3 linked regions of the Astyanax mexicanus genome follow. The protein of the gene in region 2 purifies or fractionates together with the protein of the main gene of each other region. This does not show direct contact. Links are inferred from orthologs where the notes say so. Each region holds a gene or a part of one and is shown on either strand. Other genes may lie near its edges.

Region 1 (7,096 bases), on a different chromosome or scaffold from region 2:
CTCAGTAAAATGCTAATATGACAATACATACAACACATTCTTACAGAAAGTTGTGGTGTTACATCACTGTGTTCATTAAAACATATCCAAAATACTTTTTTGGTACTATTATTTATGCATCATATATGAATATATCAACAGCTGGTTTGGTAGATCAGTGCTTAATGGTGTTAAATCTGGTAAGCTGGTGCTGGAATTAAACACTCACTGAAGCACTGACTGGGGATGTCCAGCAGAAATCTGGACCATAGATTTGTTCTTCAGACTAAATAACAAGATCTCACCTACTTTCTTTAAAATGAGAAATTCTTGTTACTGTACTGCATTTGTGTTTACCTGTACATGTTTTTTAATGTGATTTGAAGTTCTTATAAGTTATAACATTCTGATTACTGACTTAATAGTTCTAATTAATGTCTTTATATTCACAAAACCTGGACTGACTGAACCGCTGAACTTTCAGCTTGTCTAATTTAATTTGCCTGATCATACTTTTGAAGATCTGATGACGTTCTTTATTTGTGATTATATTTGTGACTTCATTTCATGGGTTTATGTAGGCTACCTAAATAAATCTTTCTGCTACATTTATCATAAGTAAGTCATTAAACTGGCTTATTTACTACAGTTATTTCCTACCAAATCTCATTTATAATATTTTTCAGTGTTTAGAGTAGTGTGCGCCGCCTGGCAATATGTTGGACTTATTAAGCACTGTCTCTGGGTCTGTAGAGAGCAGAAACACTGAGTTCAACTTTTATTGAATTAAATTTGAGTTTATCAGCTCATGAACCCCACTCTTTATGTGACATTGCATCTGATATAATGAAGCATCACTACAGACTCCTGAAATGATCTGTCTTCTGTTTACTAGTGGAAATGCTGGCAGTGTGAGGAGGCACAGTGTTATTTTGAGAAAACAAACTGATGGAAACGGGATGTTATTTTTTGCTGCCAGCACATTACTAGGATTTCTAGAGGATGTTTACATACAGTGCATTGCAGAGGTTCTAGGCACCTGTGGGAATTACGATAAAAAAGCCACAAGGGTTTATTTACTCTGTATGACACCATTATTAGAATAAATATTACTTTTACTAAATATCACTAAAATATTACTAAATATTACAATTAAAAATTCCAGCTGATATGGAAAATACAGTCCAAGAATTACATTATCCAAGAATACAGAAATTTGCCATTATGGCTTAAGAAGAGGTACAAACCTAACTTACGTTCAGGAATGCCATAGAATATATGGGTTCCAAAAAGAACTGTGCTTGTAATTGAGATGTGAATGATAATTATTTTATTCATTTCTATTTTTTCCTATTTTCTCCTAATTTAGCTAGACCAATGTTTCCACCCATTGTTTGCCACAACACAAGGAGAGTAAAGACAAAAACATGCCTCCTCCAACACGTGAAGTTAGCCACCGCCTCTTATCGAACTGCTGATGATGTAACATTTCCGAGTAGCATCACAGCAAGTTTGGAGAAAAGTGCAGTGACTCGGTTCCGATTCATCAGCTCACAGACGCCTTGTGGTGATGAGGAGAAAGAGTGCCATCTATTCACCCAGAAAGAGCAAGGCCAACTGTGCACTCTCAGGGCTTTGGCAGCTGATGGCAAGCTGCATGACCAGGATTCTCTTGGGATCCAGAGGTAGATGATGAAGCAGCATGACCCAGAATTTGAGCTCGCAATCCTCAGGCCATAGGGTCAGTTTCCCGGACAGGGATTAGGCCTAGTTGCAGCCTATATTTTCCTTTCCATGGAAAATCTCCTTTTATTTTGCAAATCATGTGGCATTTGAGTCATGTATATTTCATACAAAATGAATATTACTGAGAACTACTATGGAAGAACCTTTTTAATTCAAATTTAAAGATACTTCAGTCTACCGGACCAGCAGAGGATTTTGCACAGATTGCCTCTGGCAGGCCTCAGACCCTCCATCAGGTCAGATTACTTCATACACAGGATGCAGACGCAGAAGCAGGTTTCATGGCCAGTCTATCACGCACACAGTGAGGATGGCAACAGTGAGTTTCAGATTTAATGGCAGCAAAACAATGCCACTGAAAAAGAAAAGGCTGGGTCTAATTATTGAAAAAAAAAAACACCAAATGATCTCCTCTTATAAGGCTTTCTGGAGTTATTCCAAAAATAATAATACCACCAAACAACAGAGAGATATTCTCTCTCTCACTCACCAACTCTCTCTCTGTATCTCTCACTCTCTCTCTCTCTCTCTCTCTCTGCTCCATGACTGCTGTTGCCATAGTTCTACAGACAGGTAAATACTCTGGGGAGTCATGATATTACATTATGATAGCCTGACAGTTATAAGCTCATAGCCTGATATCCACAGCGGGGGTGTTGATCTCACTGAATGTTCACTATAGAGGAGTCAGATTACAATCATCTTGCCTGGTGTTCGAGATATTATTTGGTCTGGTTTAAAGAAATTGTTTAAGAAATATACAGGCTTTGATTTCCTTTATGGTGGTTGAGACAGGAACACTACCACCATGAACATTTTTGTCATTATTGTCTTCATACACTTTTAGAGAACAGCACATTTCACACCAACCCCCCTTAATTTAGTATGTTTACATGTTTAAATGCCCTTTGTGCAGGGATTTAGACAAATCTGTGGAATTCCCCTTTAGCAGTACATATAATACACCTGACTGATGTTCACTCTAATGTTATACAGCTTCACATATTGGATAGCAAATGCCAGCTATATTTACATAGCAGATATTGTGACACTGGGTTCTTAATCTTATCGTTTCACATCAAATCCTTCGAAGGACTGCGAAAATCCCCTGTAATTAACAGGTTTATCTGGGAATCTGTGCTGAACATTAACCCTTCAGGACCACAATTGAGCAAATTCATTATATTCAGAAACACTTGCCCCAGAGTAGTTTTATGACAACAACCCTCATATTTCTCACCTTAGGCAGAAAATGTTCTCAATATTATCAAAACCAATATGACTTTTATATTTGCCATATTTTGAGACAGACTTGTATGTCATTTTTTATGTGTTTCTTCATTATTTAAGTAAATTTAAGTAAATAGTATTATAATTAGTAAATTTGCATTAAATACTGCTAACTGTGATGGTTTTTGTCCCCATATTTCTCACCTTATGCATAAAATGTTATCAATATTATCAAACCCAATATGACTTTTATTTTTGACAATCATTCTGGCTTATGAGTCAACTACAAAATGACACATAAGCACAGCATATTTACAAAAATGGGTAATGGGAAATTTAATGGACAGCATCCATAAAACTCAAACAAACTAAACTGCACTACTCTGCAGTTACTGCTGCTGCATGCTTGTCTATACTGTATAATTAAGTATGTAATATACTTAATATATAGCTGAAAGCATGTAGAACCTTCCTGATTCTGTATATTTAGTACATTTTGTATTATTCTGTATATTACTGTATATTAGAATGTATTGTTTGTTCTATTTAGTGAATAAGGTGCTACAACTTCCATTAAAACTTTAATTTAAAGCAAGGTATAAACATTTGTGTTAAACATAATGTGACTACATTCAACTACAGCATACTTCAAATAAACATTCTGTTTATAATGATTTGTTTTATAATGATGATCACTTGTGTATTGATTAGTCTTCTTCAATTAATGTTCTCAATTATTGTTATTATTTGTCAGTTTGTTGTTTCTTGCATGTTGGATCGAAGAATAATTAAGTCTGTAGCTACCAATAACTTAGATTTTGTTATTTGTATGCTTGTTTGTTGAATACATAAATAAAGATAATAAAACACAGCAGGGATATCCCGCATGCGCTTTTCACTTCCCACCCGTATTACGTTAGGTCCCGCCTTACCGCGCTGGGATTGGCTAGTAGGATTCCGCGCTCGGTGCTCTACGATTGGCGAACAGCTTAAACTGACACGCATTCTGTCCAATCTTTAAATTTCTTGCGAGAAAAGTGCAGCTAGCCAATCAAAAGGGCGAGAGGCGGGACTTGTACGAAAACGGGTAGGGGAAAAACACCCGACGCTATTAGCATTGACAGTACGGGCTAAGCTGCTACGGATACGCGGATGTTAGCTACAGTAACCGCCGCCGCCGCTTTGTGTACAGAGAGAAAGAGGGCATGTAGTGAGAGAACGGACGGGAGGACTGCGATGGAGCCGTGCTCGTGACAGAAATCTCTCCAGGTTGTGCCAAAAGAAGGGAAGAAGCGAGTTAAGATGAAGAGCCGTCGCGGAGTGGGTGTTCTCCTAACGGTCTGGGTGCTGCTGGTGGAGGTGAGTGGGCTGTTATTCAGGAGAGACTCGGAGAGATTGAGAGAGAGGAGGTCCTGCTTTAGGAGGCGCTGAACACAAAAACACACTGTGTTATTTATTTACACTTACAGAGGAGTAGCCTGACTCCTGTCTGCCTCACTTTCCTGTCTTTCTGACTGAGCTGGAGTGCTGTAAAATGCCGCATATGTCCGAATAACCTCCAGTGCTGCTGTTTAAATGTACAGTGTGTGAGTGTCGCAATTAGGAATAATAATAAGCCTGTGTCTCGGGGTCCGTGTTCAATCAACCATAAACAAGAGCACGCCACCACTACAGCTACTTCTATTATTTAATACTGCTGCTATTTCTGTTTAGCCCCAGGACACCGGAGTTCATGCCTTCATATGAACCTGACACTGTAGCTGTAGTCATAGTTGATTGGTTAACCTATACACAGCTCTGGTAAAAAAAAAAAAAAAAAAAAAAAAGAGATCACTTAACAATGATGAGTTACTCTGATTTTACAAAATTAAAAACCTCTGGAAAATAAACAAGAGGAAGATGGATGATCACAAGGCATCAAACCAAGCTGAACTGCTTGAATTTTTGCACCAGGAGTGGCATAAAGATATCCAAAAGCAGTGTGTAAGACTGGTGGTGGAGAACATGCCAAGATGCATGAAACTGTGATTAAAAACCAGGGTTATTCCACCAAATTTTGTTTTCTGAAATCTTAAAACTTTAAGAATATGAACTTGTTTTCTTTGCATTATTTGAGGTCTGAAAGCTCTGCGTCTTTTTTGTTATTTCAGCCATTTCTCATTTTCTGCAAACAAATGCTCTAAAAGACAATATTTGTTTTGTAATTTGGGAAAAGTGTTGTTTATAACCTATAAATAGCAAAATCAGAGGAACTGATTCAGAAACTAGGGTGGTCTCAATTTTTTACAGAGCTGTATATGTATATATATTGTTTGCAAAGGTTTCATTATGACAGTAAAAATAAGGATAAGGATAAGGACACATACAATGTAGCTCAGTTTTACATACTGTAAATACAGTATAGTAATGAATTACAGTTTCTTGTTTGTTGTATCCTACATTCCTACATTGAAAAGTTACTTTGTTTCAGTATTTCAGTTTATTTTGTGAAACTCATATATTATGCAGACGTTTTACACACTGAGTGATCTATTTAAATTATTTATTTATTTTACTGTTGATGATTATGGTTTACAGCTAATTAAAACCCAAACATCAGTGTCTCAGAAAATTTGATTATTATACAAGACCAATTGGTACTTTTGGCAGTGTGGGCAGTGTGCCAAGACCTGCTGGAAAATGAAATTTGCATCTTTGGAAAAGTTGTCAGCAGAGAGAAGCATGAAGTGCTGTAAGATTGTCTGGGAAAACACTGTACTGACTGGACACAGTGGACCAACACAATCAGATGACATGACTCTTCAAAGCATCACTGATCATCAGTAAATGTTGCATTTCATTTAGCAATCAAGGGAGCAGAGTCTGGAGGAAGAGTGGAGAGACACACAGTTCAAGCTGCTTCAGGTCTAGTGTGATGTTTCCACAATTAGTGATGGTTTGAGTTAGGGTTAAGTAGAGATGGGACCGATCCGATACAATATCGGTATCGGGGCCGATATTGACGTAATTCGACATATCGGATATCGGGCGAGCGCGTCCGATCCACTTACCGATCCATATTCCAGTCCACAGCTTGAGCTGGACAGTAAACCCGCCGTAACGTTAACACGAAACACATCACTGATCCGGATTCCAGTTCCACAGTTTACCCTGAACATCCAGCAGCTTCAGTCTGCAGCTGACTGAGTAAACATTAGCTATTTGTCTACAATAAAAATTCAATTATCTGGAGAGTTTTAACTTTGAAAATGCTGTACAGCAGAACGGTACACGTAAAGTCAGCGTCCAAATAAACAGATTAACACCAGCAGTCTGTTAGCCTAGCTAGCACTGAACTGACAGCAAATTATATTTATAATTCACATATCCTATAAAAACACAGGATCTACAAACACTAACCAGCACAAACACACCAGTTAGCCGTTAGCAAATGCATTCCGGCATTGTGAATGTAATAAATAACTATATTAAGTGAACTACAGCCATAATCCACATCTAATATCAAACCACAGATCCTACCAACCCTAACCAGCACTAAGAAATCAATCAGTTATTAAAAAACAGTGATTAATTCAGCTCGGAAATACAGTTAGCACCACCGGTTAGCCATTAGCTATTGCAGCTAATCCTCTATGCTACTTGTCAAAATAAAAGTCTCCTGCGCAACCGTAGCAAAACAATGCCCTGAATTTATTATTTAGCGTATTTAATATTTACCTTTTTTTAATATTTAATAAAAATTAAATCATTTAACTTGAAAGGAAACTACTGTGTATTTGCATATAAAGTATGCAGTATAAAGTATAAATAAATGACTTTTGAATGCATTTACATTAAATGCACTTGAGTATACTCTTCAAAGGGCTGTGTGGTCTGTTTCAGCCTCATTATGAAACCTTAATCATAGTACTATTAATAAACTAAAAGTATCAGTATTTGTATCGGTATCGGCAATTTTATCAGTTTTGTATCGGTATCGGATCGGAGCTGAAAAAAGCGTATTGTCCCATCACTAGGGTTAAGGTTAGACTGGGGATCTTGCATGTTGAAACTGGTGGTCGATTTGGATTACGCAACCGCAACTTAACTCTAGCAAGACTCTCATGATTTTATCCCGACAGTGGAAATTTATCTGCGACAA
Region 2 (7,842 bases):
CTTCAAAGCTTAGGTAACAGTTCCAGTGGGGTTGTACCATTTATCTCAGTGTAGTACTGGATTTAATTGGGAATTCTCTTATATTTTAAAAGCATCTGTGTAACTTAATCAATAGGACGTAATCAAAGTCTTTTACGCAAATAAAAATTTCTTCATCTTAGGGACTCAGAATCTAAACGTTGTCTAGAATAGTGGTTAAAGAAACCTGAAAGTATGTCTGAGGGCTGTAATGCTTTTAAAAAGAACATTACACAATATAAGTACATTAAACACCGCACTAAGGTGCACCGAATTATAAAGCGCACGATTAATCAACGTCTATTTTCTGGTCTATTTTTATACCTTAGGTGCACCGGATTAGAAGGCGCATATAAAGCGACAATAGTAAGGAACAAAGGTGTCGCTATGTTGTTAAACTACACAGGTTTCTCTCCTGAAAACTGAATATTTGAATGAGTAAAGCAATTCCAATTACTTAATTTTCAGCAGCAGCACTAGCCGCAGTTAGCAGCAGCGCTAGTCGCGGTTACACTGAGGAACACTCAGAGTTCTGGTAAGCCATAATATGTTTTAAATTTAAGATTCTTCAAAGTACCACTTCTTGCTTAGATAACAGATTTGAAAATCTTGGCTGGATTTTCTCCTTTAGATGTATGAGGTAGAGACACCTGTAATCGCTTTCAGTTAACAGCTGTGCTGAACTTGTAAAGACTTAATTACTTGAAGTTCTTAATGTGTTTAAGAGCATCAGTTGTGTTTTGAAGAGGTAGAATTGGTATTCTTATCCATATTATGGCAAGAACTACTATTTTTTTTGTATGATTGTTTCAAACATTCAGCTGAAAAAAAACACCATTTATTTTGTTGCAGGAATATATTCTTGAAATTAATAATAAAAAAGTCTTATTGCCAAGAATATTTTTAAATGCTAAAATAAAAAAAACTTTTTTCACATTGACCTTCCTTATAAAATGATACATATATGAAATAATAAGAAATAAGGTTTGGTGGTAAGTTTGTACAGTAAGCAAATTGCTTCCTTTAATTAACTTTAATTCACACTTTCTGGTAAAAACATTCAGACTTTATTCTAATCTTTTCCTAAAGAACTAATGAGAAATCTTAAAAATAGGAAGAATCCAGCTTTAAATTCTGACCTCCAGCACAGCGTTTCTTCTTTCCAGTTTTAGGATGCTCCCACTGTGTTTTCATCTCCTCATGACTGAAAGAAAAAACAGTATGGTTGGTAGGGCTGCACCAATGTGGCAATTATGGGTCGATGCTGAAATCTTGCATATACATATCTGCAAGTAATGATACACAAATTAAGAGTTTACAGAGAAACTACACATCCTGTTATAACTTTAGAAATAAATGTAACATTTATATACCTTACACTTTAGCTTTCAATTAACTGTATGCATGAAAAATTAGTTTTCATATTTTTTTGGTTTGATATTTACTTAGTTAACCAGTTCTTACATAGACTGGCCACATATTTAAATCCTCTTTTTGAATGAACATCGTAAATAAAACAATAGACCTATTAAAAGCAATAAAAAGTCTGTTGTCTGTTGTGTTTTTGTGAACACTCTCTCTTTCTTTCTCTCGCTCGCTCTCTTTCTCTGTCAGAACTACCAACATTACATTTTTTTTATCATGATCTTGAATATGATTAATCACAGAGTTGTTGTTGTTGTGTGACATGTGTTTGGCTGTTTTATTACCGTTGTTTCAAAAATAATTAAAAATTAATAAACATGGGGCGCAGAGTGGTCCAGCGGTCTAAAACGCTGCCACTATGAGCGGGAGGTCGCAGGTTCAAACCCCAGCTCATGCAGCTTTGCCATCAAGCTTCCAGCACTCAGAGGGAGCAAAATTGGCCCTGCTCCCTCTGTGTGGGTAGATGGCACTCTCTCCCCACATCACTCCTAGGGTGATGTCCGCAGCACAGGGCGTCTGTGAGCTGATGTATCAGAACCAAATCGCTGTGCTTTCCTCCGAGCGCGCTGTGACGCTAATCGGCTATGCTGCATTAGCAGCAGCTTGAAAAGAAGTGGTGGCTGACTTCACATTTTTTGGAGGACGCGTGTGCTAGTCTTCACCCTTCTGGTGTGTTGGGGCATTACTAGTGATAGGGGGAGTCCTAGTGAGTGGGTAGAAATAAAATTATAAAATAATAATAATAATAATAATAATAATAAAAATATACCTTAAGGGACAACTTGGATGTGTTCTTTCTTTTTAACTGCGTTTCCAAAGTATTGGATTATGACTCTGTATCAGCAGATACTCAAAAACAAATGACTCGGGAGCAAAAAAAAAATAAGATTTAAAAAAATTGCTTAAATAAATGAATTTGAATGTAATGTGGGCAGTGCTCAGCATTGGTTGATCCTTTTCTGGTATAATAAAAATCTGTCAGAAGATACTGAAAATAAAATATCGGCCAGACCGGTCAATACCAATGATTCTAAAAAAAAAAAAAAAAAAAGTCATTATCGGTCGATACTGGAATAATTCCAATATCATCCCTACTGGTTTCTGATGTTTTCCAGTATGAAGTGGTCTGACAGACTGTATACTGGGTAGGTAAATTAATACATACTCTATGAATCTATAGTGAAACTCATACAGTGTAAACAGTGTTTTAAACAGTACTGCAGTCAGCCTACCCAGAACACCTCACACACTTCATCTACTGATTCAGAAGATGCAGGAGTGTGAAACACAGTGATACTGATACTGAGTTCTGAGCAGGAATGAAGTGAGTCTTCAGTCTAAACTAGTGTATAACCAGGTTCATTAACTTACTTGGCATAATAAACCCAGCCATCCTTGGTGGATCTCTCCTCCCAGCCGGGGGGCAGCTCGTCCTCGCTGTCAGTATCGTCCATTCCCGCGTATTTAAGAGCAGCCATTGCGCTGTGCGGTTCTCCTGTAAGAGTTTCTAATTCAGCCGCTTCTGTGTCTCTCAGTCAGAACAGCTCCACTCCACCACCAGCAGCAGACCCACAGCAGCACTCTCCACCACTGCACTGACACTTCCGCAACAACACCGTGACGTACAGCGCAAGGACTTCTGGGATTTGTAGGCAGCGATGAGCCAAAAACACAGTAAAGTAAATCGACGCCTTTCTAAAAAAATAAATAAATCCATCTTATTTATTTTCACAAGTTTTTCAGGAAACACAGAAAAAAAAACATATGATAGTTATTATAGCTGTTTAAAAATTAGCAATGGTTTAAGAGGATAGTTTATCATACAGCAGAACAGTCAGAATTTTAAAAGATTGATTTAAAAAAAAAACAGAAAACAGGTAACAGGGCCTTTTTAGCTTGCTTTGTGGAGATATTTTACTGACTAAATTCAGAGGTATTCAAAAGGTATCAATAAAACTCAGTAATAAGGCTACAGAACTATGTCTTTATAAATAAGAAGTATTTAATTTAATTTTTTATTTTATAGTAAAATTCTCACCACTGACCAATCACGTTCACAGTCACGTGTTTTTACTATGTAATCTGTTTGTGCTTTTGCCAGATGTCAGTGCATGGGACGTGGCTTATTTTAGTAGACTTTTTGAATATTGAGGTTAAATGAATGATTATTTATTTAATATACAATAGTATTATCTAATTTAAATGATATATGTCGATTTGAAGAACAAAAATCAGAATATATTAACAGTAATAAATAAAAAGCAAATACATTTGTAATTTGTATACATATAGTAAAATAGCAAGCTCCTTTTCTATCTTAAAACATTTGAATTGAGATTAAATGAAAAAATGAATATAATAAAATAGATCAAAATTTTAACTTTCATAACATCCCAAAATGCTGGTTGGTGGGCTGTGGCTTTAAGATGTGCCAATTGGTTTGTTGTGCTGACTGTTCTAAAGAGCCAGCTGGTGTTTCACTAGTGTGAGCCTTAAGCCTCCTGTTTCTTTTTTTGTTTTTTTTTTAGATTGTGTTATTTGGTGAGCTGTTGTATTCAGCTGTGCCAATTGCTTGAGGTTATACTGTGTGTACCGCAGCTTTAGGATACGCTGTTTGGTGTTTTGGCTGCTTTACAACCTGTAGTTTTGGCCTGGCACAGTGGATATAACCAGTCCCTGTGAACTAGTAAGCTACCACATCATGTGGGAGACTGGGGTTCAATTCGTGGTATGGGTTACTATGCAGCGCTACTCAAATAAGCCATTAGAAACAAAAAATAAATTTACCTTTTAAACAATTAAATATTATCATGTCTGGGAAAAAAAAAAAATATATATATATATATATATATATAAAAATAAGACATAAGGTTTATTTTCTGAATTGGGATTGATCGTGCAGAAACATTGTCAGATCCCTTTATAGATGCATTACTGGCTTCAGATTCAGGGCAATGGCTGGGTCCTTGCAGGACAGTCACAGTTTTTCTTTGGGTATGTTCTATTTTTATTCTGCCTCCATCTTTCCCTTCTAGTCTGGCTTGTCTCTCAATTCCTGTCACAGAAAAAAACACCAAGTTTGACATTAGGAACTGCATTAATAAGGTGTTACTTATGGCCTGGTCTGAAAATGTTGCATTCATACTATATTTCTGGATAAAAGAAACAAAAATCACATCACATTTAGAACATTTTTCTATATTTTCATTATTAAAATAACGAAGCCAACAACAACATACATTGGTGTTATTTTATTGCAGTAATTCAGGAAAGCTTGGTGGCAATACCAAAACATCCCAGCATCACACACAACACACAGTTTTACATTCTTTATGTCAGTACATGATTAAAACACTGTACATATTTATTATTATATATCACAACAAATTGTACAGTCATGCACCGCCTTAGTAACTCCAAATAAATGTCTTACTTTTCATTCTGTCTCTGGACCTAAAAGTCTGAGACAGCCACGTCACAGAAAAAGTGCCATTTATAACACAAAATGTTCAAGTACATCTAAGGCCTCCATCAAAATAATAAATAAAAAGATACATAAAACAACATCTAGGACGATGATAGTTGTGATATTTATAACCTATTAAAACAAAACAAAACAAAACTAGGCCTATTCATTCTGAACAAAACCATAACTTGTATTCCAGGCGTTCTGTTTCTCTCCAGCACCATGAGAGGTCATTTCTTAATTGGATCTGCATTGCATGAGTTCACATTCCTTTAATAAAACATGTAGGATGTAGAAAAATAATTCTTCATAACCAAACCAGCATGGAGGAGTCACAGTGGTTCTCTGTCTTCAGTCATCCAGCACTTTGGATTCTTTTCATACTTTATACTTCTCTTTTGCTCTGTCACTTAGTATACAGATGTGCTAGGTATAAAAAAGGCAATAATTATTCCAGAAAACATTTATAATTAATATGTGCATGTCATGTATTGACACAATGCTTACATATACTTACACTAAGGTCCCTGAAATATTCATTGTAGTCTAAAGCATAGCCCACCAGGAACTTGTCAGGAACCTCAAACCCGATGTCTAGGAGGAAAAAGTGAAATACAAAAAAAAAAGCATTAAGTCAGTGTGCAGGTAGGTAGGTAGGTAGACCTCCATAATGTTTGGGGATATGCAGCTCTGGGGAAAAAGGACCACCTAAAAATGATGAGTTTCTTTGATTTTACCAAACTGAAAACCTTTGGAATGTAATTAAAAGGAAGATGATCACAAGCCACCAAACCAAGCTAAACTGCTTGAATTTTTGCACCAAGAGTGGCATAAAGTTATCCAAAAGTAGTGTGTAAGACTGGTGGAGGAGAACATGCCAAGATGCATGAAATCTGTGATTATAAACCAGGGTTACTCCACCAAATATTTTGTTTTCTGAACTCTTTAAACTTTATGAATATGAACTTGTTTTCTTTGCATTATTTGAGGTCTGGAAGCTCTGCATCTTTTTTGTTATTTCAGCCATTTCTCATTTTCTGCAAATAAATGCTCTAAAATTACAATATTTTTTTTTTGGAATTTGGGAGAAATGTTTCTGTGGTTTATAGAAGAAAAACTGAAGGTCTCATTATTTTCAGAGCTGTATATTCCCTTGATATGCTCCTCACATCTTAAAATACCAAAATCAAATATAATTAACATTCACATCCCAAACTTTAAGGGTTTTGCATACATTTATTTTTTAAAATACTGAAATTATAACAGCCCCCTCCTTTCACGGCACCATAATATTTGGGACAGATCAGTGATAAGTACATGAAAGAAGCATCTTCTCTAGTAATGCATTGCCAGGTCTCTTGTGAGGCTCTTTTGTTTGTCTGGGGGTGTTGTAACTCTCATCACCATATGGAACACGATTGATTGAATTTAAATCAGGTGACTGGCAATACATTTTTATTTCTTTAACTCTTAAAATATCTGTGATGCCTTAAAGGTATGTTTGTGTTATTAACCTGCTGTAGGATAAGGCCTCACCTATACATGTGTCAGTACCTGTATCAGGCATATATGCCCAAGCCATGACATCCCACCACCATGAGGTGGAATGTTTTGGATTGTGGGTAGTTTTTGTCTCCACACTCAACTCTTGCAGTCACTATAATTATGTGTTTGGGTTTTTTCCAAGATTTTTAGCAAAGAGCAGTCAATGACAAATGCACACCAAACTCCTGAAGGCTCTTCTGATTTATCGGACAGACAATAGAGGATTTTCTTAATAGTAAAATTCTACTTCCATCAGCAGCACTGTTTTCCTTGGCCTACCAGTCCCTTTTGCCAAAATAAGCCAATCAACAATCTTGTTTTTTTTTTTTTATCCCAATCAATATTTCTTATACATTTACTCGAAAAGCTATTTTTTTGTTATTTTTATATCATATAGAACAATGGCAATGACACATTTAAGGTACCGTCAGACTTCTTACAATTAAATATGTTATGTTATGTTTATGCATTAATAAAGCAATAAAAACACAATTAAACCAAATTTCCCCAAATATAACGATGAATGCATTTGCCGTTTGGAATATGTACTTTAATCAAAGGAAAATACATTTTTGTCCCAAACGTAATTGGATTATGGATACACTGTGTAACATTTAAAATAATAAAAGTTACATCACGGTATCATCATTTGCTCAAACAAAAGCAGCTTCACATAATGAAGTGTACGATAACAGGTAAGCGAGGGGACAATGATAATAGACTACCACCACTTCAGTTCTAAAGCTAAAAGCAGAGGTCAAGGGACAGGAACATCTGTGCTTCTAGGACAGGCCTAAAGAGCTTATCATCTTCCACCCTACTAAAAGCATTGCATAACCACTTCAAGCACTGATACATAAGCTTGTGTGCGAGTATCATGTCTAACAGCACGAGAGAAGGGTTTTCCTTCCTGTGTGGATTACATAGGAAGCTTAAAAGTAAAAATTCGACATGCATTCAGATCTAATAGAAATGAACTTACAATCAGGACGATATCCCGAGCTTCTTGGTGTTCTTTTCACTAGAAGGCTGAAATTGAATAGAACAGTAGCTTTATATAATTAAGTGCAATAAATATTCATTCTTTATTTTAGTTTTTATATAAAAAAAAAACATAAAATCATGTTAAGGTTTACAGAGTTAAATAAAATAAGACGGACACTAACTACTACTAAAGACTGCTTTCATACTGCCATCCACAGAGACATGTCCTGTATAGCACACAGACTATCAGTAAGTAGATACTTAGAGTGTATTATACTATATAGATGGGAAAGAGGGGCATTTGGCCATTAATGCCCAGTATGTAATCTGTTGCTACCCGTTCCATTAGCTAATGGTCATGTGACTCACATGGTTCAACTGACTCATGTGACTTTAAATTAATG
Region 3 (7,385 bases), on a different chromosome or scaffold from region 2:
GAAAGAAGCGAATAAAAAAAAGAAATAATAATAGGTATATGCTTCTTCAGCGTCGCAAGGTTATTTAACATAATTCTTAACAGATTTCGCTAATTCAAACAGCCCGAAAATGTTTTAAATAGCTCAATTTTAACGCTCTAATTACTAAAAAATGGCTCGGGTTCAGAAGGACAGTTTATGGCTCAGGTCGGGTCTGGCTCAAGCAGAAAGTGCATGGATTTGGGCCGGGTCGGGCTGGATTTTTGGGCCCGATCTAAGCTCTACCGCTCCACACACTGCAGGCGTTTTGCACTGCGGTCAAGCCAGCCCCCACTTCAAAACGCTTGGTCAAACTAGCCCCCACGCTGTTTCTTAGAGCGCGCATACACTGAACATTGCGGCAAGCGTGAGAAGGAACACATTTCAAAATAAAAGTCCCCCCCTTAATATCACGACATTATGCTGTGGAGTGGTATTAAAAGGAATCCACATAATATCACATGTTATGTCTGATATCACATGTCAATTTCATGTAGTCCTGGTAGTACACAAAATAAAAGCCCTGTAAATTATAACAATTATGTTAATTAAATAATACTAATACTAATAATAATAATACTAACAATACTACTACTAATAATAATAATACTTGTATGTGTCACTCACTTAATAGCAGGGCATTATAATGTGTCATTTCAAAATAAAGGCCATTTAAATTGTAACATTTATGTAATTTTACACAATGTTTAGACTGTTATTAAAAGAAATCTGTCTGATATCACAGCTCAATTTCATATAGTCCTGATAGTACACTCCTTGTATGTTTCACTCACTTAATATCAGAAGATTTTGATGTGTCATTTCAAAATAAAGGCCCTTTAAATTATAACATTTATGTAATTTTACACAATATTTAGACTGTTCTTAAAATAAATCTGTCTGATATCACAGTTCAATTTCATATAGTCCTGATAGTACACTACTTGTATGTGTCACTCACTTAATAACAGAACATTTTGATGTGTCATTTCAAAATAAAGGCCCTTTAAATTGTAACATTTATGTAATTTTACACAATATTTAGACTGTTATTAAAAGAAATCTGTCTGATATCACAGTTCAATTTTATATAGTCCTGATAGTACACTACTTGTATGTTTAACTCAATTACTATCAGAACATTTTGATGTGTCATTTTAAAATAAAAGCCCTTTAAATTGTAACATTTATGTAATTTTACACAATGTTTAGACTGTTATTAAAAGAAATCTGTCTGATATCACAGTTCAATTCCATATAGTCCTGATAGAACACTACTTGTATGTTTCACTCACTTAAAATCAGAACATTTTGATGTGTCATTTCAAAATAAGGGCCATTTAAATTGTAACATTTATGTAATTTTACACAATGTTTAGACTGTTATTAAAAGAAATCTGTCTGATATCACAGTTCAATTTCATATAGTCCTGATAGTACACTACTTATATGTTTCACTCACTTAAAATCAGAACATTTTGATGTGTCATTTCAAAATAAGGGCCATTTAAATTGTAACATTTATGTAATTTTACACAATGTTTAGACTGTTATTAAAAGAAATTTGTCTGATATCACAGGTCAATTTCAGATAGTCCTGATAGTACACTACTTGTATGTTTCACTCAATTACTATCAGAACATTTTGATGTGTCATTTTTAAATAAAGGCCCTTTAAATTATAACATTTATGTAATTTTACACAATATTTAGACTGTTCTTAAAATAAATCTGTCTGATATCACAGTTCAATTTCATATAGTCCTGATAGTACACTACTTGTATGTGTCACTCACTTAATAACAGAACATTTTGATGTGTCATTTCAAAATAAAGGCCCTTTAAATTGTAACATTTATGTAATTTTATACAATGTTTAGACTGTTATTAAAAGAAGTCTGTCTGATATCACAGTTCAATTTCATATAGTCCTGATAGTACACTACTTGTATGTTTCACTCAATTACTATCAGAACATTTTGATGTGTCATCTTAAAATAAAAGCCCTTTAAATTGTAACATTTATGTAATTTTACACAATGTTTAGACTGTTATTAAAAGAAATCTGTCTGATATCACAGTTCAATTTCATATAGTCCTGATAGTACACTACTTGTATGTTTCACTCACTTAAAATCAGAACATTTTGATGTGTCATTTCAAAACAAAGGCCCTTTAAATTATAACAATATTTTATTTCAACACAATGTTTAGACTGTTATTAAAAGAAATCTGTCTGATATCACAGGTCAATATCATATAGTCCTGATAGTACACTACTTGTATGTGTCACTCACTTAATAACATAACATTTTGATGTGTCATTTCAAAATAAAGGCCTTTTAAATTATAACAATATTTTTATTTTAACACAAGTTTTGACTGTTATTAAAATGAATCTGTGTGATATCACAGGTCAATTTCATATTTCATTTCATAATTTAAAGGGCCTTTATTTTGAAATGACATATCAAAATGTTCTGATATTAAGTGAGTGAAACATACAAGTAGTGTACTATCAGGACTATATGAAATTGAACTGTGATATCAGACAGATTTCTTTTAATAACAGTCTAAACATTGTGTAAAATTACATAAATGTTACAATTTAAAGGGCCTTTATTTTGAAATGACACATCAAAATGTTCTGTTATTAAGTGAGTGACACATTCAAGTAGTGTACTATCAGGACTATATGAAATTGAACTGTGATATCAGACAGATTTATTTTAAGAACAGTCTAAATATTGTGTAAAATTACATAAATGTTATAATTTAAAGGGCCTTTATTTTGAAATGACACATCAAAATGTTCTGATATTAAGTGAGTGAAACATACAAGTAGTGTACTATCAGGACTATATGAAATTGAACTGTGATATCAGACAGATTTCTTTTAATAACAGTCTAAACATTGTGTAAAATTACATAAATGTTACAATTTAAATGGCCCTTATTTTGAAATGACACATCAAAATGTTCTGATTTTAAGTGAGTGAAACATACAAGTAGTGTACTATCAGGACTATATGAAATTGAACTGTGATATCAGACAGATTTCTTTTAATAACAGTCTAAACATTGTGTAAAATTACATATGTTACAATTTAAAGGGCTTTTATTTTAAAATGACACATCAAAATGTTCTGATAGTAATTGAGTGAAACATACAAGTAGTGTACTATCAGGACTATATGAAATTGAACTGTGATATCAGACAGATTTCTTTTAATAACAGTCTAAACATTGTGTAAAATTACATAAATGTTACAATTTAAAGGGCCTTTATTTTGAAATGACACATCAAAATGTTCTGTTATTAAGTGAGTGACACATACAAGTAGTGTACTATCAGGACTATATGAAATTGAACTGTGATATCAGACAGATTTATTTTAAGAACAGTCTAAATATTGTGTAAAATTACATAAATGTTATAATTTAAAGGGCCTTTATTTTGAAATGACATATCAAAATCTTCTGATATTAAGTGAGTGAAACATACAAGTAGTGTACTATCAGGACTATATGAAATTGACCCGTGATATCAGACAGATTTATTTTAATAACAGTCTAAACATTGTGTAAAATTACATAAATGTTACAATTTAAATGGCCCTTATTTTGAAATGACACATCAAAATGTTCTGATTTTAAGTGAGTGAAACATACAAGTGGTGTACTATCAGGGCTATATAAAATTGAGCTGTGATATCAGACAGATTCCTTTTAATAACAGTCTAAACATTGTGTAAAATTACATAAATGTTAAAATTTAAAGGGCCTTTATTTTGAAATGACACATTATAATGCCCTGCTATTAAGTGAGTGACACATACAAGTATTATTATTAGTAGTAGTAGTATTGTTAGTATTATTATTATTAGTATTATTATTATTTAATTAACATAATTGTTATAATTTACAGGGCTTTTATTTTGTGTACTACCAGGACTACATGAAATTGACATGTGATATCAGACATAACATGTGATATTATGTGGATTCCTTTTAATACCACTCCACAGCATAATGTCGTGATATTAAGGGGGGGACTTTTATTTTGAAATGTGTTCCTTCTCACACTTCTTAACACTTTATTACTAAATTATTTCATTTTAAAACGACTTTATGGTGTGTCCAGATTTTTGACTTGTACTCTATAATTTATATATTTTTTTATATTAAGGTGTGTGTTGCTGTTTTATAACTATAATATTCAACAATATGACTTTATATATTAAAAAACACAGCTCCACTGTTAAATAGATAATCCAATCCGATCAGAATCGATTCAGAAAGATTCGGAACCTTCAGGAAAGTTCCGTGTCCTTTAAAGACGCGCGCTGCGTCAGGGAGGGGCGGTACTCCGCGGGACGGTGCGGGCTGCGGGAGCTGCAGGTGCGGTTATCTCTAATCACCAGTATCGGAAACTGATCGATCAGATCCACCGATCAGCAGCAGAGAGATCTCCAACAGCGCGTGAATGAGAAGAACCCAGAATGACCCTGAATCAGAACCATTCCGAGTCCGGGGGAGTCATCATCAACAACAGCGAGAGGTACCGGTGTTCTGTCTGATTCTGCTACCTTGTTAAACCGTGTTCCCCTAGTGTATATTTACCTGTAAAAATACAAGAGAAGCACCATATTACAGCATGTTAAAAGCAGGAGTCCCAGTAGATGTAGTTACTATATTTGAAAAGCATAAATTACTGTGTCGTGGTAAAGTTCACTACTAACGTGTTTTTGTTTGTTTATAATTATATTAATACCATAATACAATAATAATTATTGCATTCAAATTTTATAATTTCCATTTACGCTTTTGTGCAATAACAGTGAGTCCAGGTTGTTTAATGCATTGAAAAACACGAGAAATAATCTAAAAGTATAGGTCAGCGCATGCGCAGTGCCTTTAGGAAGCACGTATCGACGGGTAGAATACCTCGACAAAACACCGGCCTTCGCGCTCACTCACAGCTCTCCTCTCCACCTTAAACACCAGCAGCCTCCGCGCGCTCACTCACAACTCTCCGTTCCACCAGCAGCCTCCGCGCGCTCACTCACAACTCTCCGTTCCACCTTAAACACCAGCAGCCTCCGCGCGCTCACTCACAACTCTCCGTTCCATCTTAAACACCGGCCTCCGCGCGCTCACTCACAGCACTCCGCACTCCTCCACAAATGACTTCGCTGTGAGGGGCTGGTATGATCAGCTGCACCGTTTAAGGTGGAACGGAGAGTTCGAAGATGATTATATTTAATCGTTGGTGTGACGGAGGATATTTGACACAGATTAAAAGCTCCAGTAAATGTTTACCTTCCGTCTGCACATCAACATTTATTAAAACAAACTTATTTAAACACTTTAAATAAACAAACAGCTAAAAAACGAGAGTAGATAGGCAGTGTCCACACAGCTACAGTTACCTGAGCTAAATAAAGATAATTCTAGGCCCTGTATAGACAATGCGTTCCATTAATTTAAACTTTTAGTTCTATTAATTTTGTTTTGTTCTATATATATATATATATATATATATATATATATATATATATATATATATATATATATATATATATATATATATATACTGCAAATAGAAAAAATGTGTTTATATATAACTTACTGCAAATAGAAAAAAATGTGTGTATGTATTTCTGTATATAAACTTCATTTCTACCTTTTCAAGATACATTCTGATAAATCATGTCATGTAGGATGAAACAGCCAAAATTTGAGTTAATTCTGTTAACAATATGAACAAAAACGCCACAAAACCAAATCGCTGTAAGTAATGTATAATAACATATCTCTATTAAAACATTTTCTATTGTGATATATAAATATTTATTTACCACATCAGTCATATGCAAAATTAAAAAGCCTGTTAGCAGTATGTGAAACACTGGTATTAGAATAAATACAAATAACATTCAGACAAACAGAAAGAGAGAGATGCCCATTCCCATCTTCACTGGGTCACAGAGTCACTAAGCTTCTTAAGTCTTCAGTGATGTAAGACTGTAAGACTGTGGACATTTACACAGTTCTTTGTGACTTTGTAGGTCTAATTTTAGATTTGCTCAGTGTGTTTTATCTTCTTGTCTTCATTTATTAAGTGTAAATCTGCTCTGTTGTGTAAAACAATCTCGCTCTACCAGCAGAGTAAAACACCACTGTTCTCCTTCACAGTGTTCTGATGTCCTATGAAAACGTGGAGCTGTCGTTCAGTGATGCTGATCGTTTACCAGAGCTGTTCAAGAAGAGCAAGAAGGGGAGCATCTATCTCACTCCGTACAGGGTGAGTCTGAAAAGAGATAAAAGATATTCTTTAACTAATCAGATGTCAGTTACCAGAGAACACTGAGACAAAGTCCAGTACCCGGTTGCATAAACACCATACGATTTTCACTTAAGTATAAAAAAATGGACAAAAGGGAATTACTTAAGTGTGTTACACAAAAACCCTCAGATATTTAATTAACTAGGAGTAAATAGATTTACTGCAGTGACTAATGTTTTACTGTGGTAAGTTCCACTTTAATCACAACAATGACTTATCAGCGATAATGAATGTTAACTTTGTGATTTTGGTGCTTTTAAAACCTCTTCAATGAATTATTCAACACCCCCCCCCCCCCGCTCACTCTTTCAGACGTGAACATGAAAACAATGATTTTTGCAATTGAGTTTACGCGTATATTATTCACATTTCTCATGGCTTGGGGTTGCTTTGCTACAGAGGATGGTCTGGCAAGCTTATCATAGGTGAATATGAATTATTTATTGTATCAGAGGTGGTTTGAAGAAAAATGTAAGACCATCCACACAAACTGTAGATAAAGCATCACATCGCTGAAAGAATTCTGCATAGAGGAGTGGGAGTCTGAATAGGTCTGTCCTGGGTAAATAAATTAGGTGAAAGTGTTTGCAGTCAGTAGTCTAATTATAATATTTTATTTTATTCCTTTAAATAGCTTCTCCAGAGCCTTTACAAAAGTTGTGCGGTCTGTTCTTCTATCAGGTAATCTTCGTGACAAAGGGGAAGGATGCTCTTCAGTCCTTCATGATGCCATTCTATCTAATGAAGGGCTGTGAAGTCAAACAGCCTGTTCTTGGAGCCAACTACATAAAGGGTGCGGTGAACGCTGAACCAGGGGGTAAGAACTTACTAAATCTGATTGGAGCATTAAGGTCATCAATAAGCTCTTCAGTGAATTGGATCAGCTTAAACTGGGGAGAAAATTGGTAAAAATGGAAAAAAATTAAATAGTGATGTCAGCTGATGTAGTCCTAGAGTTTAAGAAAACAACATTTACATGTTTCAGTAAAATGTAAAATGCAGTTGTGAATTCAGAATA

What was found.
Region 1: the proteins of wwox (region 2) and vopp1 purify together in Homo sapiens (affinity purification with mass spectrometry; 3 studies listed by BioGRID and IntAct, with this or other methods). This does not show direct contact. The link is inferred for Astyanax mexicanus from reciprocal best matches to the Homo sapiens genes WWOX and VOPP1.
Region 3: the proteins of wwox (region 2) and wbp2 purify together in Homo sapiens (affinity purification with mass spectrometry; 3 studies listed by BioGRID and IntAct, with this or other methods). This does not show direct contact. The link is inferred for Astyanax mexicanus from reciprocal best matches to the Homo sapiens genes WWOX and WBP2.

Annotation. Positions count from the first base shown.
Region 1 is NC_064413.1:43,513,695-43,520,790, reverse strand, and holds the start of vopp1 (vesicular, overexpressed in cancer, prosurvival protein 1), read left to right. Parts: upstream 1-4,048; 5' UTR 4,049-4,257; coding exon 4,258-4,314; intron 4,315-7,096. UniProt on the Homo sapiens protein: Increases the transcriptional activity of NFKB1 by facilitating its nuclear translocation, DNA-binding and associated apoptotic response, when overexpressed. May sequester WWOX in lysosomal vesicles and thereby regulate WWOX role as tumor suppressor.
Region 2 is NC_064409.1:53,551,149-53,558,990, forward strand, and holds the start of wwox (WW domain-containing oxidoreductase), read right to left. Parts: upstream 3,105-7,842; 5' UTR 2,922-3,104; coding exon 2,815-2,921; intron 1,223-2,814; coding exon 1,158-1,222; intron 1-1,157. Other genes in the region: hprt1l (hypoxanthine phosphoribosyltransferase 1, like), read right to left, coding at 5,288-5,335, 5,427-5,503, 7,437-7,483. UniProt on the Homo sapiens protein: Putative oxidoreductase. Acts as a tumor suppressor and plays a role in apoptosis. Required for normal bone development. May function synergistically with p53/TP53 to control genotoxic stress-induced cell death.
Region 3 is NC_064422.1:14,045,978-14,053,362, forward strand, and holds the start of wbp2 (WW domain-binding protein 2), read left to right. Parts: upstream 1-4,350; 5' UTR 4,351-4,520; coding exon 4,521-4,579; intron 4,580-6,216; coding exon 6,217-6,325; intron 6,326-7,048; coding exon 7,049-7,184; intron 7,185-7,385. UniProt on the Homo sapiens protein: Acts as a transcriptional coactivator of estrogen and progesterone receptors (ESR1 and PGR) upon hormone activation. In presence of estrogen, binds to ESR1-responsive promoters. Synergizes with YAP1 to enhance PGR activity.